Regions from separate parts of the Mus musculus genome. Here region 1 is reported to be linked to region 2. The links are microRNA targets in miRTarBase. Many come from high-throughput screens and were not tested one by one. Region 2 holds a microRNA gene; the other region holds the end of a gene's coding sequence.
Evidence for each region. Region 2 holds the annotated microRNA mmu-miR-24-3p (UGGCUCAGUUCAGCAGGAACAG, at 4,918-4,939, opposite strand). A microRNA usually pairs through its seed, bases 2 to 8, with sites in the 3' UTR of a target mRNA and lowers its output. Matches are read on the target gene's strand: a 7mer-m8 pairs with bases 2 to 8, a 7mer-A1 pairs with bases 2 to 7 and ends in A, and an 8mer does both.

Region 1: miRTarBase lists Gba2 as a target of mmu-miR-24-3p. Seed matches in the 3' UTR shown: 8mer at 720-727.

Annotation. Positions count from the first base shown.
Region 1 is chr4:43,560,739-43,567,839 of GRCm38, reverse strand. Gba2 (glucosidase beta 2) reads left to right here. Exons shown (of 17, transcript NM_172692.3): 16 at 1-115; 17 at 373-912. The coding sequence ends at 651. Tln1 (talin 1) reads left to right here and starts at 5,257. Exons shown (of 57, transcript NM_011602.5): 1 at 5,257-5,710. Creb3 (cAMP responsive element binding protein 3) reads right to left here and starts at 5,182. Exons shown (of 9, transcript NM_013497.4): 1 at 4,881-5,182; 2 at 4,634-4,790; 3 at 4,489-4,559; 4 at 4,282-4,371; 5 at 2,473-2,579; 6 at 2,305-2,373; 7 at 1,636-1,720; 8 at 1,462-1,546; 9 at 779-1,371. The coding sequence starts at 5,027. The coding sequence ends at 1,043.
Region 2 is chr13:63,299,097-63,306,189 of GRCm38, reverse strand. Mir24-1 (microRNA 24-1) reads right to left here and starts at 4,982; the gene lies at 4,915-4,982. It overlaps Aopep (aminopeptidase O), which reads right to left. Exons shown (of 16, transcript NM_001289926.1): 16 at 3,313-7,093. It overlaps Mir23b (microRNA 23b), which reads right to left and starts at 5,706; the gene lies at 5,633-5,706. Mir27b (microRNA 27b) reads right to left here and starts at 5,478; the gene lies at 5,406-5,478. It also overlaps Mir3074-1 and a transcript of Fancc not described here.

The DNA.
Region 1 (7,101 bases), not on the chromosome of region 2:
CATGGGGGCCGTGAACGGGATGCACCCTCATGGTGTCCCTGATAGATCCAGTGTGCAGTCTGATGAAGTCTGGGTGGGTGTGGTCTATGGGCTGGCAGCCACCATGATCCAAGAGGTAATGAATTCTCTTCCCAGCCCTTCACCATTTGTACTGAGGTCCAGAAAACTTCCTCAGCCACTAACTTTATTCCAAGAACACCCTACTGCCTGCCATCTTATCCGTCCACAGAGCGCCCTTCTCCCTAATAAGTGTTCCACCTCTTGCCTTTAAGTTCTTGCCTTTAGGGCGAACGGCCTCCTGTCTTCTCTGCTCAGCTAAGGTAATTGTGCCAAGAGTCAGTTATTATGTGTGACTTCTACGTCTCCCCACAGGGCCTGACTTGGGAAGGTTTCCGGACAGCTGAAGGCTGTTACCGCACTGTATGGGAACGCCTGGGCCTGGCTTTCCAGACCCCAGAGGCATACTGCCAGCAACAAGTGTTCCGCTCCCTGGCCTACATGCGGCCACTGAGCATCTGGGCCATGCAGCTGGCCCTGCAACAGCAGCAGCATAAAAAGAGCCGCAGGCCATCAGTCACACAAGGCACGGGACTAAGCACACAGCCTGAATGTGGACCAAAGAGATCGCTGGCAAACCTCAATTCAGAGTGATCCCTCTGAACTGTGGAGGCCCAGCCTCCACACTGGACCTCCTCCTTCCTCCCACAAGTCCTGCAGCCCTGAGCCAATAGGACAATCGCGCCCCTCTTCCTTCCCAGCTGTGCCAGTAAAAAGGGGCTGAGGAACCACTTATTTATTTCTTACCCTACCCAGTCCTTCCATGGATGAAGTATTCAAGGCCAGTAAATGTCTCCAAATCTATTCACGGGGCAACAGATACATATGGGTATAAATAAAATACTCAGAAAACTAGTTAGTGTGGTGTGTCTGAGTTCCTGGGCATCCTAACAGAGCACGTGAGCAAAGGCCAGCTTTCCCCTGCTCCTTTTTATTTGAATACAGACAGGAGTCCTCAGGCTGAGGACACCCCACATCCTCACACCTAACCTGAATACCTGCCCTGAAAGATGACCAAAGAAGGGCTGTGGTTAGGTTGCCATCCCTCGCTTTCTGAAAGGTTTGCCTGCAGGAGAAGGTTGGAGTCGGAGAAGAGCATCTCTGAAGAAAGATCCCAGAGTGGCCAGTGCAGGGGCTGCTCTGCCTGAGGCGCGTGGTACAGTACACAGGAAAAGTTGCTGGAGACCAAGAACATATGTTCTGAGCTGTCCAGTGACTGGTGTGTGCTGTCCATGGGTAGCTCTGACGATAGAGCAGATGGCTTCGGCTGATGATCGTCCTCGCTGGGGAGGGCACGAAGCTTGCGGTGCAACACTGAAGAGACAAAGACTGGTCAGGAGACCACACAGAAGAAGCCCTCTCTCTACCACAGACCACGCCCGAAGGTGTCCTTAAGCCTCTTACCAACATACTCCGCGGGCACACTTCCCCTTGCATCAGAGGAGTACATAGCGGGTACCAGGAGAAGACAGAAGGAGAACACGAGGACCTAGAACACAGGGAGAAGAAGGGGGTGAAGAGCTCTGGGTCACACACCCCATCTCTGCCAGGGAAAGGATCTCTTGTCACCCTCCTCACCAGAACACAAGTGCTGCCGCTGCTGGTTTTGTTGGCTATCTCAATCACCATGGCTTGAAGCTTCCTCAGTTGATCTAGAAGGGACCTAAGAGACGAGAGGAGACGGTAGTGCGCATGCTCTGGCCGAGCATGCAAGGCACGATGAAGGCCTCCTGTCTTAGCTACCCTCTCCACTCATGCTGTGGATCCAGTCTCAGCTTCCTTGCCTTTCCCCCTCACCCCAAGTGTCTTTGTGCACAAATGCCTGTGATTCCTTAGTGAGACAAAAAAAAAATCAAACTGCTCTGTCCTGACTTAAATACCTTCAAGAAAAACTCTCCAGTAGCTGCAGTACCTGATCAACTAAGCTTGTGCTTCCCCACCAAGCCCTGTGCTCTCTACCCAACCCCAGAGCTAGAGCCAGCCAAGCACAATGCAGCCTTCTCTCCTCCCAGTCCCATCCCCACAGCTGCAACTGCAATGACGCTGACGACCTGCAGTCTTTTCTTACTTCTCTATCTTGGTACTTAATTGCTCCTTAGCTACTTATAAGTTTATTCTCCATCACGCTTGAGACATGGCTAACTTCCGGATGTCTGCATTTTTGAGCTATCCAGTTGGAAGTCATGTGGAACAGTGGAAAGAGTGAGAAAGCATTAAAAAACCGATTGTCTTCAAATGGCCGCTTACAGATTCTGTTCCTCCAAACGCTGCACCTTGTTCTGCAGCTCCCGATTCTGAGCTGTGTATTTCAAGACCCTAGAGGACAACATGGATGTGAGGACACGTGGATTTCAAAATATTGTGTCTCCTCCCTTCAAGACCCTCCAGGCTTCCCCCGTGTCCATCCTTGCTTACCTGCTCTCCAGCCCCACGACATACACCTTCTTCTTCTTGCGGCTTTCTTGAGCTGCTCTCTTGTTACGAATCTTCCTCCGCACTCGTTTCAGAACTTGTTCCTCCACCTAAGAGAAGATGGGGGAAAGGTCACCCACAGTATGTTATTATATGCCTGTATGTTATACCTATATATACTACATAGGTATGTTGGAAGACAGCTAACCTTCTTCCCAATCAAATACTCTCCACAGCCTCTCTGTCAGTAGGCATTTACCTTCTGTGTGAACACCAAGGAGCAGATATTCAACACTAGAAAGCCAGACTTTTTATTATTTTTTATGTGTTTGGGTGTTTTGCCTGCATGTCTGTATAACGTATATGTATAATGGGTGTGCCTAGTGCCCACATAGGCTAGAAGAGGGTGTCAGATCTCCTCGGATTGTAAGCTGCCATGTGGGAGCTGGGACTTGAACTCATGCCCCATGGAAAAGCAGAAAGTACTCTAAACCACGGAATCATCTTTCCAGTCTCTAATTAATTTTAAAAATTCCACTTAAGCTAGGTGTGGTTGTACATGCCTGTAGTATCAGCACTTGGGAGGCAGAAGAAGGAAGTCAGGATTTCAAGACCATCCTTGGCTAGGGTAGTTTTTGAGGACAGACTGAGCTACATAAGACCATGTCTCAAAACTAACAACAACAACATCTACCCTTATCCTAAAGCAACATCAATCTTCTTATAATTTCCATTCATTTGATTTTCCTAGAGTCTCTAAAGTGATATAGAATATATCCTTATCTTAAGGTACTTTCAACTTTTTTTCTTTCAGAAACTAAAACTGAATAAAGTTAACTCTTACATTCTCTGATAATGCCTGTCAAACTTGGACACTAGCCAAGAGTGACATCATACACTTGTAATCTAGTCCGAGGGAGTTAGAAGCAGGAGAATCAGGAATTCAAAGGCATTCTTTCCCTACTACATAGTTTGAGGCCAGCCCAGCCTGGGTTTACAAGACCCTGCCTTAACAACAAGGGCCAGAGGGCGTGGCTCAGCAGTGAGCATTGATGAACATTCATGAGGTACTGTACTCCAATCCCAGTGGGTAGGGGAATTATGGCATGCTCTGGCCAGTGTAAAGGAAGACAAGACAGTTACTATCCTAGGGACAGAACCACTATTGATAATTTCCAAGTTCCGTTTCCTTTCCTCCCAATATATTGCTCATTCATCTTGTAATAGTGATAGAGGGATAGGGGATGGTTTCTCACATAGCCCAAGCTTGCCTGAACTCAACATGAAGCTAAGTCTGTCCGTTAATGCTGATCCACCTGCCCCAAATAAGTAAATATCTACATATCAGAAGTAAGACAATATTAAAAAGGCAAATGACATTAAAAAAATTTGCCACAAAAACTAGATGCAGTATTCTTGTAATCCCAGCACGTGGGAAGTGACTTTGAACTTGTGAAGACCTTCCTGCTCCTGCCTCCAGAGTGCTAGGGTTATAGAGGGGTGCACCATCATGTCCAGCTTTGACGATTGTTGATGTTGTTAGACTGAGTCAGCCTCTCAAGCATTTCTACCACTGAGTATGATTCGAGGTCCCAAGATAACAACGGAAGCTATCAAGGCCCTTCACTTTCAAGGCTCTGTACTAAAGTTACATTTAAAACATTATCTTTTGACGTGGGTGTGTGTTTGGAGATGAGAGAACTTGTAGGAGTTGGTTTGTCCTTTTGCAAGTGATTGATATGAAACAAACTGAGCTTGCCTACTTGGGTTACCAACCCCCTCCAGCCTTTGCTCTACCAACAGGAGCCTTACCTTAGTGAGAGGAAGGGTTGAGGGCAGAGTGAGCCCCTCCTTCTCCAAGAGCTTCTTCTCTTCCTCGGTCAGTATCAGCCTAGACATCTCCTAAGGATGGAGGAAATAGTGAAGAGAGCAGAGTTGCATGGAGCTCTCAGAGCAGTATGGGGGATCTTGGCTGCTGCAAAGTGAGGTAATCCTGAAAAAAAAAATCAAGTCCAGCACCTGTTCCGCTGCTCTTTCCTCCCCTGGCAGTGGAGTCACGTGGAACCCCTCCTTTTCGAAGCTCTCAGTATCTGCAAAAGGGAAAGTAGAACCAGCTAGCCCAGTGAGCTCTCTCCTCCCCCACAACTTATCATTTCACACTCACCTAGATCTATGGAGACGTGCTCCTGTGGAAGGGAGTAGTTGTGATCATGGAGAATGGAAGAGCTGGAAGAGCCGAGAACATCCCGCGATACTGAGGGACTGAGCAGAGAGCTCAGTAAATCCTCTACCTCCCAGTCGCTCAGTTCTTGCACGGAGTTCTATCAAATTCAAAGGCCTTGATTTATTTCCGTACCTTGGGTCTCGCGGACATCCCTAGCTTCCCCCACTGGGAACACCCACCCACCCACCTCGGAAGGTGACAGCTCTAAGTCCAGCGGAGCCTTCACGTCCGGCTCAGTCGCAGCCCACAAATCTCCGCTTTCCTCTAGCAGGAAGCCCAGCAGGTCCTGATCACCGGGATCCAAAGCTAGCAGATCCTGACCACCAGGATCCATTTGGGATATCTATGGATAGAAATCCCTCCGCGCAGATCCAACCTCCGAACCTCAGGCACGACCCCTCAGTCTGTCCAGTCGGCTCGACTTAACCTCCGTCACTCCGGGACAAGGGCCTAGCTGTCACTCTAAACCGCACCCGTCTCTCAGCTTCTGTATTCCTCAGCTTCCAACACAACGGAAGTGGTGCACATAGCCCCGTGGAATCCTGGGACTTGGAGTTCTCTCCAACTCGGAAGTGGCTCCTGGGCTGCGCCACGTCCCGGGGGCTATGCAAATTATGGGGACGTCCTTTCAAGCTTCCCACGCCCCAGGGCGGGGATTCTGAGGATCCTTGTCCGCCTTCGCCTCGAGCTATTAAAAAAAAAAACTTAAGCGTTTAAAAGGGAACTCCAGCTTAGTTCGGGCGTTCTCTCCAGAGCTCTGCACGCTCGCTTCCTGCTGGGGAGGGGCGGCCAGGCTTCGCGGGCGCCCGAGCATCGAGAACTACGGCCAGAGCAGCTTCCTGCAGTCTCCGCTACCATAGAGCGCGGGCCCAGGGCGCCGCCGGCGGGTGGGGGACGTTTCCAGGACGGAAGTGGCCGAGAGTGTGTCGAAGGGAGGGCGAGGCCGGAGCCCCAAAAGCGACCGGGAGAAGGAGCGGGTAGCGGGCCCAGGGCGGGGCGCAGAGCCGGGCAGCGCAGGTAGGCCGGACGGGCTGGGCCGAGCTTCTAGGTGGGGCTGCGGGATCGGGCCAGCCCGGGAAGCGGCGGGCGGGGCCCCCAATCCTCCTGCATATCCTGTGTCTGGTTAGGGAGGTCAGGGTCCAGTATGTTTCGGTTTGGATTTGGAATTAAGCTGGCCTTGTTGCGAGAAGCAGGCCCTTTCGCGGGGGTAGACAGTTCTCTGTCTCGGCTAGGTTTGGGGACGGGTAGAAATGGGGTGGCAGTGAGGCACTGGGTGGCAGTGAGGCACTGGGCGGGGATGGGCTTTGGTATTAGCCGATAGTGAGTAAGTGGTTAGGAAAACTTGGGGTGAGTTTGGGTTAGGTGCCGTCGCGTTTAGGAAGCAAGGATCCCTTTAGAAGTTAAGAAGGTGAACTACATTCTAAACATTTGCTGCACGAGTCAAGTCTGTTTCGCATATGTGACATTTAAACTGAGGTCATTATTTTCTGCAATGACCAGCATTAAGTCAGAGTACAGGATCGGGTTAAGGATCAACAGGAATTGGCTTAGATGCCCGTTTTAGGGATTAAAGGCCGGTGTCATGGTCAGTATTAAGAATAAACAGTGAAAAGGTTAATTAAGAACCAAGTTACAAATGAGCTTTAGAACTGCAGGGTGGGGTGGGAGGGAGTATTTAGGGTTAAATTTGGGGGATTTGGGCCTAAAAATAAAAGCCAGATTAGTATGGGTGTCTTCTGGGAAAGGGGTGAATGTCAATGTATAGGGAAATAGGAAATAAAGTCAGCATTAATGTTAGGAATTGGTGATAGCGTTAGGGGTTGAGGCTGCAGCTACAGCTGAGCTGGTAAAATGTAAGAAGTTGGCAGGAAGTAGCTACCTTTGTTTTGTAGTGAGTTCTCTTATTCCTGTGCAGTTACAGAGGCCTCTTTTACCCAAAGAAGTGCTAGAGCTCTGGACCTCAGCTAGAAGTGCCAGGACTCTGCTTTCTCTAGTCTACTGCCTAAGCACAAGGCTTCCAGAGGCCACCACCACTGGGAGACAGGGATTTCTGGGCTGTGATGTTTACGAGGTGGGAGGTGGGAAATGGAAAGAGACCCAGGAGTCAGACAAGGTCCTAAGTGAGGATGGGGAATAGGAAGCCTGTGACTGAGGGGAAGCTGACCAAGGGAACGCTGTCGACTAAATGATGACAGTTTGACTCGAGCCTCCCTCATTCTCCACACACTGCCTTCTCTCTGTCTCTTTGCCCTCCCTGGTCCCACATTGCATACCTTTACAGTTCCTTACAGATACTGTCGTGGTCTTTAGCTCGTCTCCTGCTGTTCATCTGAACCATTTCCCACCCCCACACCCCTGTCTCTGTCTCTTGATCCACACATCCTACTTTACTTCATGTCCCTCAAACC
Region 2 (7,093 bases):
CTGCCCCGTCCATGTTCCTGGTCCACCCTGCCAGTGCCTAGGTAAGGTCATTATACAGACAAGAGACAGTGGTGGACCCAGGACAGATGGGAGAGGTCCCATACTCATTCCTGTTCTGTCCTCGGGGACTCATAAGCCAGCCCAAGCCTGTTTCACTGAATTGGCCAGATTTGATTTTACAAGCCAGCTGAAGAGAAAGGGCATTGTATCTCCAACCCAAGCTTGCACACACGTCCTGTCATGCCAGGTTTCTGGGGCCATCGCCAGCTGCTGAGGCCACATTCTGGTGACTGTACCTCTTGTTTCCTATGCTTCTCCGAGAACACGGACATGGACACTCCCAGCGGGATCAACCACCAAGGCAGGGCTTCTTTCTGGCCAGTCTTCCCACTGGGGCTACACATGCCAACACCAAGAGCCGGTCTCCTCAGCAGCCCACCCCATCCTGGGAAACTTCCTCCGCTTGCCCCAGTCTCCTCCCTGTCTCACACTGTCTGGTCATTGGTCTGAAGAGAACTGCCTTATTGGTTCATCAATCTCTCCGACAGCATCAATGGGTGGGAAGGGGGCCATAAAACCGTCCCCTGAATAGCCGGATGGCTGCTCCTCCCTCCCACCTCGTAAACCCCACAGACCAGCCAAGGGGCCCCCGAATTCACTGTGGCTAGGGTGAGTTCACCCCCCTCACTGAGACTACTCCCTGAAACCTTTCTTGGGAGGTCCAGGCACTCCCCACCCACGCCAGCCCTGGGAGTCTCAGAGATGTGATGAGGCTAGGCCACTCCCTAGGGAGAGAGTGTTCCAAGGGGCTGAATAACCACTGAGCTTTTGGAAACAATGTTAAGCCGCAGCAAGGTGTCTACATACTGTGGGAATGGGTATGGCAGCCCAGCCACTCAGGGAGCAGGCCAGCTAAGGCCACAGGCCCAGCACCCAGGACTACTTGGCAGGTGTAGCTGGGGCGGGGTGTTCTCCTTTCCCTTACCAGGCCAGTGCTGTTCCTGTACTGGCTGGCTCCGTCTCTGTATAAGCCTGGTGGGGACCAGCAGGACTGAAGCAAGCAGCTCTGCATGTGAACCCTTCAGATCCCATCCTCTAAGTACTGCTTTCTGTTGCTTCCTGGGCCATAGCTGCTTTGGAGAGTTGGGGCAAAGGTGATGCTGTGGATAACAGAGATCCCTGTGTGTGTGGCATCCCCTGCTAGCTGGCCGCTCACTGGGCTTGTGTAGCCATGTCCTGCTAAGCCACGGTCAGGAGAAAAACCTGGTAGGAACTTGGCACTGGCCTGGAGTGGACCCTGAAAAACCCTCTGCGTTTGGTAAGGACTGCTTACTTTGGGATATCTGCCATTTCTGGTTTCTACCCTGGGGACATTCTATGACATTTCTGCTCACCACAAGCAAGAATACCTTGCTATAGTATCAATTATTTCATTCTTTTGATGTGAAATTCGTTTGAATAAATAAATACATAAATGCTTTAAAATCCTCCAGTACTATTGGAATAGCTGAGTCAGAGCGCCCAGAGTCCTTTCTGGGACTTTCTCAACCCCACCCTTCCCTTCTTCCTGCCTGGGTCCAGCCAGAATTCCCAGTACCTCTCCCTTGGCTTCTGTCCAAAGGCTCACAAACAAGGTGGTGAGCTCCCAGCCAGCCAACCTCTGCCCCTTCCTGGGGTTCAACTCTCTTCTACAAATCCGAGTGTGGATGGCTCCCTTCCTAGGCCAGGTTCAGGATCTATGTAGAGGGACAAAACAGTGGGTTCAGGATCTATGCAGAAGGATAGCCCACAGTGGGGGCACTGATGTTTCCTCCTGTGCAGGGAACCATGGCCCAGGGGTCAACATCAGATGATCTAGATGCACCCCCTTCCTGTAGCCCTGGCCTCACTCCGGTTGAGGCCTGCTCTAATCCTTGTCGGAAGCATCCCAGATAACACGGAGGGGTGTGTCTCCTCTGGAGAAGAGATGGAGTAACTCTAGGCTGTCTTGGTTGGAAGGAGGCCATTTCTGGTGGGATCAGTGAGAACAGGCTGGCCCAGCCCTGGCCTGTTGTTCTCAAGTGATGGACATCTGCTTAGCAATGACGATGACAGTATTCAGTGGCAGGGTTAAGAGGCTGGTGTTTCTGCTATCCCACTCACCTCTTGGCAGTTATCTCACACGGATCCTCCTGTCCCGGCCCCTCTACCTACTGGAGGCATGGGCCTGGTGGTAGAGCACTTTGCTCCCATTGGGTTTCTCTCACCCTTCAGCTTCCTCCAGGAATGAAGTGAGGCTAGAAAACGGCATGGAAATAGTGCTGGCAACAAGTGTGCCTGACCACCAAGGACAGTCTCAGTCTCTCCAGGGACAGAGGAGCAGACTCAGGTTCAGGCTTCCAGGCTTTCAACACAGGCTCAGTCTCACATCTGAGTGGTGGGAGGGAGAGTTCCTTAGAGGGGTTCCAAGCCCCTGCCTAAGGCTTGGACACCAAAGCTCTGAAGACCAAGCACTACAGAGTGGTCTACAGCAAACACTGACCCAGGGATCCAGCTTCTTGCTCTGCCCACTTGTGGTTTGGAGCAGGAGCCTGGGTGATGATCCACATCCTTCCTCCGCCAACAGTTCACTCATCACCTGAACCATATGCTATAGAGCAAACTCCTCCCTGGGTGAGACAGCTCAGAGGAGGAGGTCAAGCCTCCCTAGACATCCATTCTTCCGCCCTCAGACCCTGCTTCGCATCCTATTTGACAAGTTAACGTTTGCAATGTTCTGTGTCCTGTGAAGTCAGGTGGCTCACGGAAGAATGGAGACTGCACTTTCTTGACTCCAGAGGTCTCAGCCAGATGAGGGAAGCCTGCTTCCACAGCCTCATGGGCCTCTGGTGCAGCTATGGGTGGCAGGAGCTGCTGCCTAACTTGTTGGGGTGGGGGACTAGAGGAGAGGGGAGGATAGGCTTGCTCTGCACCCAGCCAGAGGTGGCAAAGGACAGCTCTACCACAGATCCTTCACCAAAGCTGTGAAATGGGCATCTGGTTCCAGTGAGATCTCCACTTACCTGAAACCCATTGGCAAGAACCCAAGCCAGACACAGCCAGGCACAGGGCTCAGTGACCCATGGGGACAAGGGACTTGATCCCTGAACAAAACCCACCTTAGGCGACAGCTTTGTTTTGCTTTAGTGGTTCCTAAGAACAAAGAACAAAACCAGACTAAACCAGTGCTTGGCTGCTCTCTCCAGTTCAGAGGAGGTATGGGCCACTGAGGTTCTCAGAGGGGCCTTACAGGGTGTGTGGTTCTTAGTCCACCTCTAAGCAAGGCCAGAGTGCTTCTGAGAGCAGGAAGGCATAGACTCAGCCATTTATTTCAAGTCTTCACAGAAATCAGGGTAACATTAAGTAGAATTAACACACTTTGATACTTGTACCATTGTGGTATACAAAGCAGATAACCATTTGCAAGTCCCCTGCAACCATCCAAATGCAGTCACTGCTACAGCCCAGGCTCTGAAAACCAATGGTTCTGTGCGGACGCTCCTCTCAGTCTGTCCTAGAGCCTTTGTCACCCAGCAGGTCTGGGTGCAGAAGCCTGGCCAGCCAGTGGGATGCTCCTTCTGGTTCCTCTGTCCACCGCTCTGCCTTGGCTGGGCTCATGTGACTGCACTGATGGCTCAGTCTCAAGCACCGTTCTCTAGACAGTGACTGAAAGAGCTTAGAGCTTGTTCTGAGACTCCGCTAGTACCAGGCTGGCTGAAACTCCACATTTGGAAGAGAGCAGAGTCCCAAGCCACACTAATTTCCCTTTACTTCCAACCTTTTTAGAATTAACATTACCTGGAGGTAGGAAGTGTGTGGAAAGTGCCTGTTCTGACACACGTTCTTCTTTGCTTTTAAGGAGCATCAAATTCAGAAGCAAACTGGAACACTAGCAAATCTGGTACTTTATTAAGACATTTTAGGCTTTCCTGCATTTTCAAAAACAGGAATGCTCTGTTGACTGAACACATCAAAAGGGCTTTGCAGAATCCTTGGGGACCAGCCACAGGAGGTGTCACATGATTCTGCAGTCTCAGAGCATGGCAGCTAGTTTTTGCAATCACAGGAAGCAGGCAACCGGCTCTCCATCTGCCTAGGGGAGGGTGTCCTTCATTGAATGACTGCCTTAAAGTCACAGCTCAATTCCAGTGTGTAGACTCAGTCTCTCTAGGACTGGGAACAAAGGCAGCTGCCAGGTGCAACAGTTTATGAGGCTCCGCCTTTTATATATGCCACGGGAGCCCAGTCTCTGGAAGCCCAAGATGGACCAACCACTGCTGTGGGCTGATGGCCTTAGCAGCCACATAATCCTCCCTTTGATGTCCAGGGTCAGTGCAGTCCTGGCCCCACCAGGGCTAGGAGAAGGTATATGAGAATCTCACTGTGATCTGTCCTGTGGAGGAAACAGCAATAAAATTTATTACCCAGTCACCACAGCCATTCCAACAGGAGTCCTCCCAGCCTCTGACCTCCACTTGAGAGGGAACTTTTCATGGGAGGACAGGGGCAACACTGAAGCCACACCTCACAATCCTGGGTCTGGGGTGCACAGTCACGGCACAGGCCATGCAGGGCTGTGAAGCCCAGAGAGGTTCAGAAAGGCTCTACAGACAAGGCCCTTCAGACAGGCATTCTCACTGCTCAAGGCAGCGGTGACATGGTGTGCTCTGCCCCAACACGTGGCAAATGCTCAGCGCCTGCCCTACCTGCTTCTAGGGAATGCAAACTTTCCAAGGTTAGCTCTGCACTCTACAAATCCCCACCTCGGGAGCACATACAGAGGGATACCACTGCTGTTGGGTCTGGTACCAGACACTCAGGCCCTTCATCTTCTTCTCCGTGGGAGGCCTGCCTCAGGCACTTACAGATGGGTAGGCTTTTTGCTCAAGGGCTCGACTCCTGTTCCTGCTGAACTGAGCCAGTGTGTGAAATGAGAACTGATATCAGCTCAGTAGGCACCGGAGGGCGGGTCCAATCACAGCTGGGCAGTGCCTCCTGGCGTGCCCTGGGCATCATCTTGCCAGCGACTGTGGAGACATGGAGACCTGGACTGCAAATACAAGAAAGAGTTCACCACGCCCAGCAGGGACAAAGAACCACACCCCCACCCATCACGTGTGGCATCAGCTGAGACAAGGTTGGCTCAGTTTCCTTGATGCACCTGGGTTTAGTTTTCTGTGACTCCCAATACACTTGACATTACAGTGAACTAATTAGCAGTAGAACTGTATTTTCTGTAGACACACTTAAGGGTGGTCAGCACGCTGTTTGCACTCTTGACAACACAGCCTTGAGGCAGGCTGGTCTCTCCTCCTCTGGAGTGACCACCAGGCAGTGGCCTCTGCCTGGCAGCTGCAAGTTAACTGTCCCCATCTCACCTTCTCTTCAGGTGCAGAACTTAGCCACTGTGAACAAAGCGGAAACCAATCACTGTTCACCAATCAGCTAAGCTCTGCACCTTGTTAGAGAGGTCATCGCCGGCCATAATTAAAGGGCTGGTGAGCATCTTCGAAGGCTGTTGGCTTCTTTTGTTTCCAAAGAGCCACAAGGCGCCTCTGTTCTCCAAACTGCAGAGAGAAAGTAGCCACGGTTCTGCAGGAGCAGCCAAGGTCATGGTTGCGTGGTAATCCCTGGCAATGTGATTTTAATCTCAAGTCACAAATCAGCATGCCAGGAACCCAAGCAGCCAGAGCAGGTGAGGGCAGCACCATGCCCAACCACTCCCATCCACATGTGCTGAGTGTCCTCCAAACCGCCTCTGAGCCCACCACGCTAGCAGTGCAGCCTGCTGTCCTTCAGCGCGCTGGCTGCACTGTATAGAGGAGCATAGGGGACTGGGAGACAAAGGACACACTTATCAGCTATGAGACCAATACCTTAGGGACCATCCTTGCTCTGAGTATGTGGCCTTTAACCCTGGGACACACCCTGTTCTCCAATTGCAGACTGAATGGGTTGGGATGTCTCTGGGCCCCTCAGACAGCAGGTGTGGTGTGTAGGGAGGGAGCATCTCTCTGGCTTGCCTGTGACCAAGCATTTGGTTGGATAAGCTGAGGCATAGCACAGAGCTCATAGGGGACCTAGCAAGTTGAGGATTTGCTCACTCAGGGGGCAAAAATACTCTTAGAAGAGTCACTAGGACCACTATGTGACTATGGCTTTCCTAAGTGAAGGCCTAGGGACCTAAAAAGGGAACAGTGGCTTTACTGTGTGACCTTCACACACCACATACCAACAATCCCTCAGCTTACAAGTTTCTAGAGAAATGTCTGCAGGAGGCAGTGAAGAGGCGCCCCGACCGACTCTGTCTATCCACACAGGCCACCGTCCTAGCTTGTAGTGTGCAGGCTTAGCAGGCTGTACCTGCTTACTCCAGCCCACTATCTCCCCTGCTTGACTGTGGCGGTCCCCAGCTCTTCTGCAACAACATGGTCATACATAGTAACATGTTTTCCCTTCATCAGTGTAGTTCTTCAGAAAAATAAACATTACACAGAAGTGGGTTTTATAAAAGTGAAATGTGAAAATGTAAATTTAATGTCTGACAATGGGTTAAGATTAGCAACACAATTCTAAATATTCATTAATTGGTAATCATAGAGAACAACAGAGTAACACAGTGATTGATGTAAAATTTCAAACATATACAAAAGTAAACATCATATGTACCACCATGGCAAGCGATAATGTCCTGGGATGATGTAGAGATGATGACTGGCGACTATGAAAGAGACGCACTAGCCCACACCTGTCTCAGAACTCCACGCCCTGTGGCTGAACTGCATTACTGGTCCACAAGCTGGCTACAGAGGAGGCAAGTTACACCACAGCCAAGGACTCTGGGAGCCAGCGTAAATCCTGTTCCAGCACGAGATGGAAACAGACTTGCCTTTAGGACGCAAGTGTCACTTGGATGGAGGGGCAGAGAAGACCTGCTGCCTACTCTACAGGTCAGAGAACCAGAGGCCAAGGAGTCTCAGGTTTACACAGCCTCTAGGAGAGATGCCTGCATGCTGAAGCCTGGAGCAATGAGGCCATGGACCGCTGTGTTGACCTTGACCCTGGAGCCTGTGGA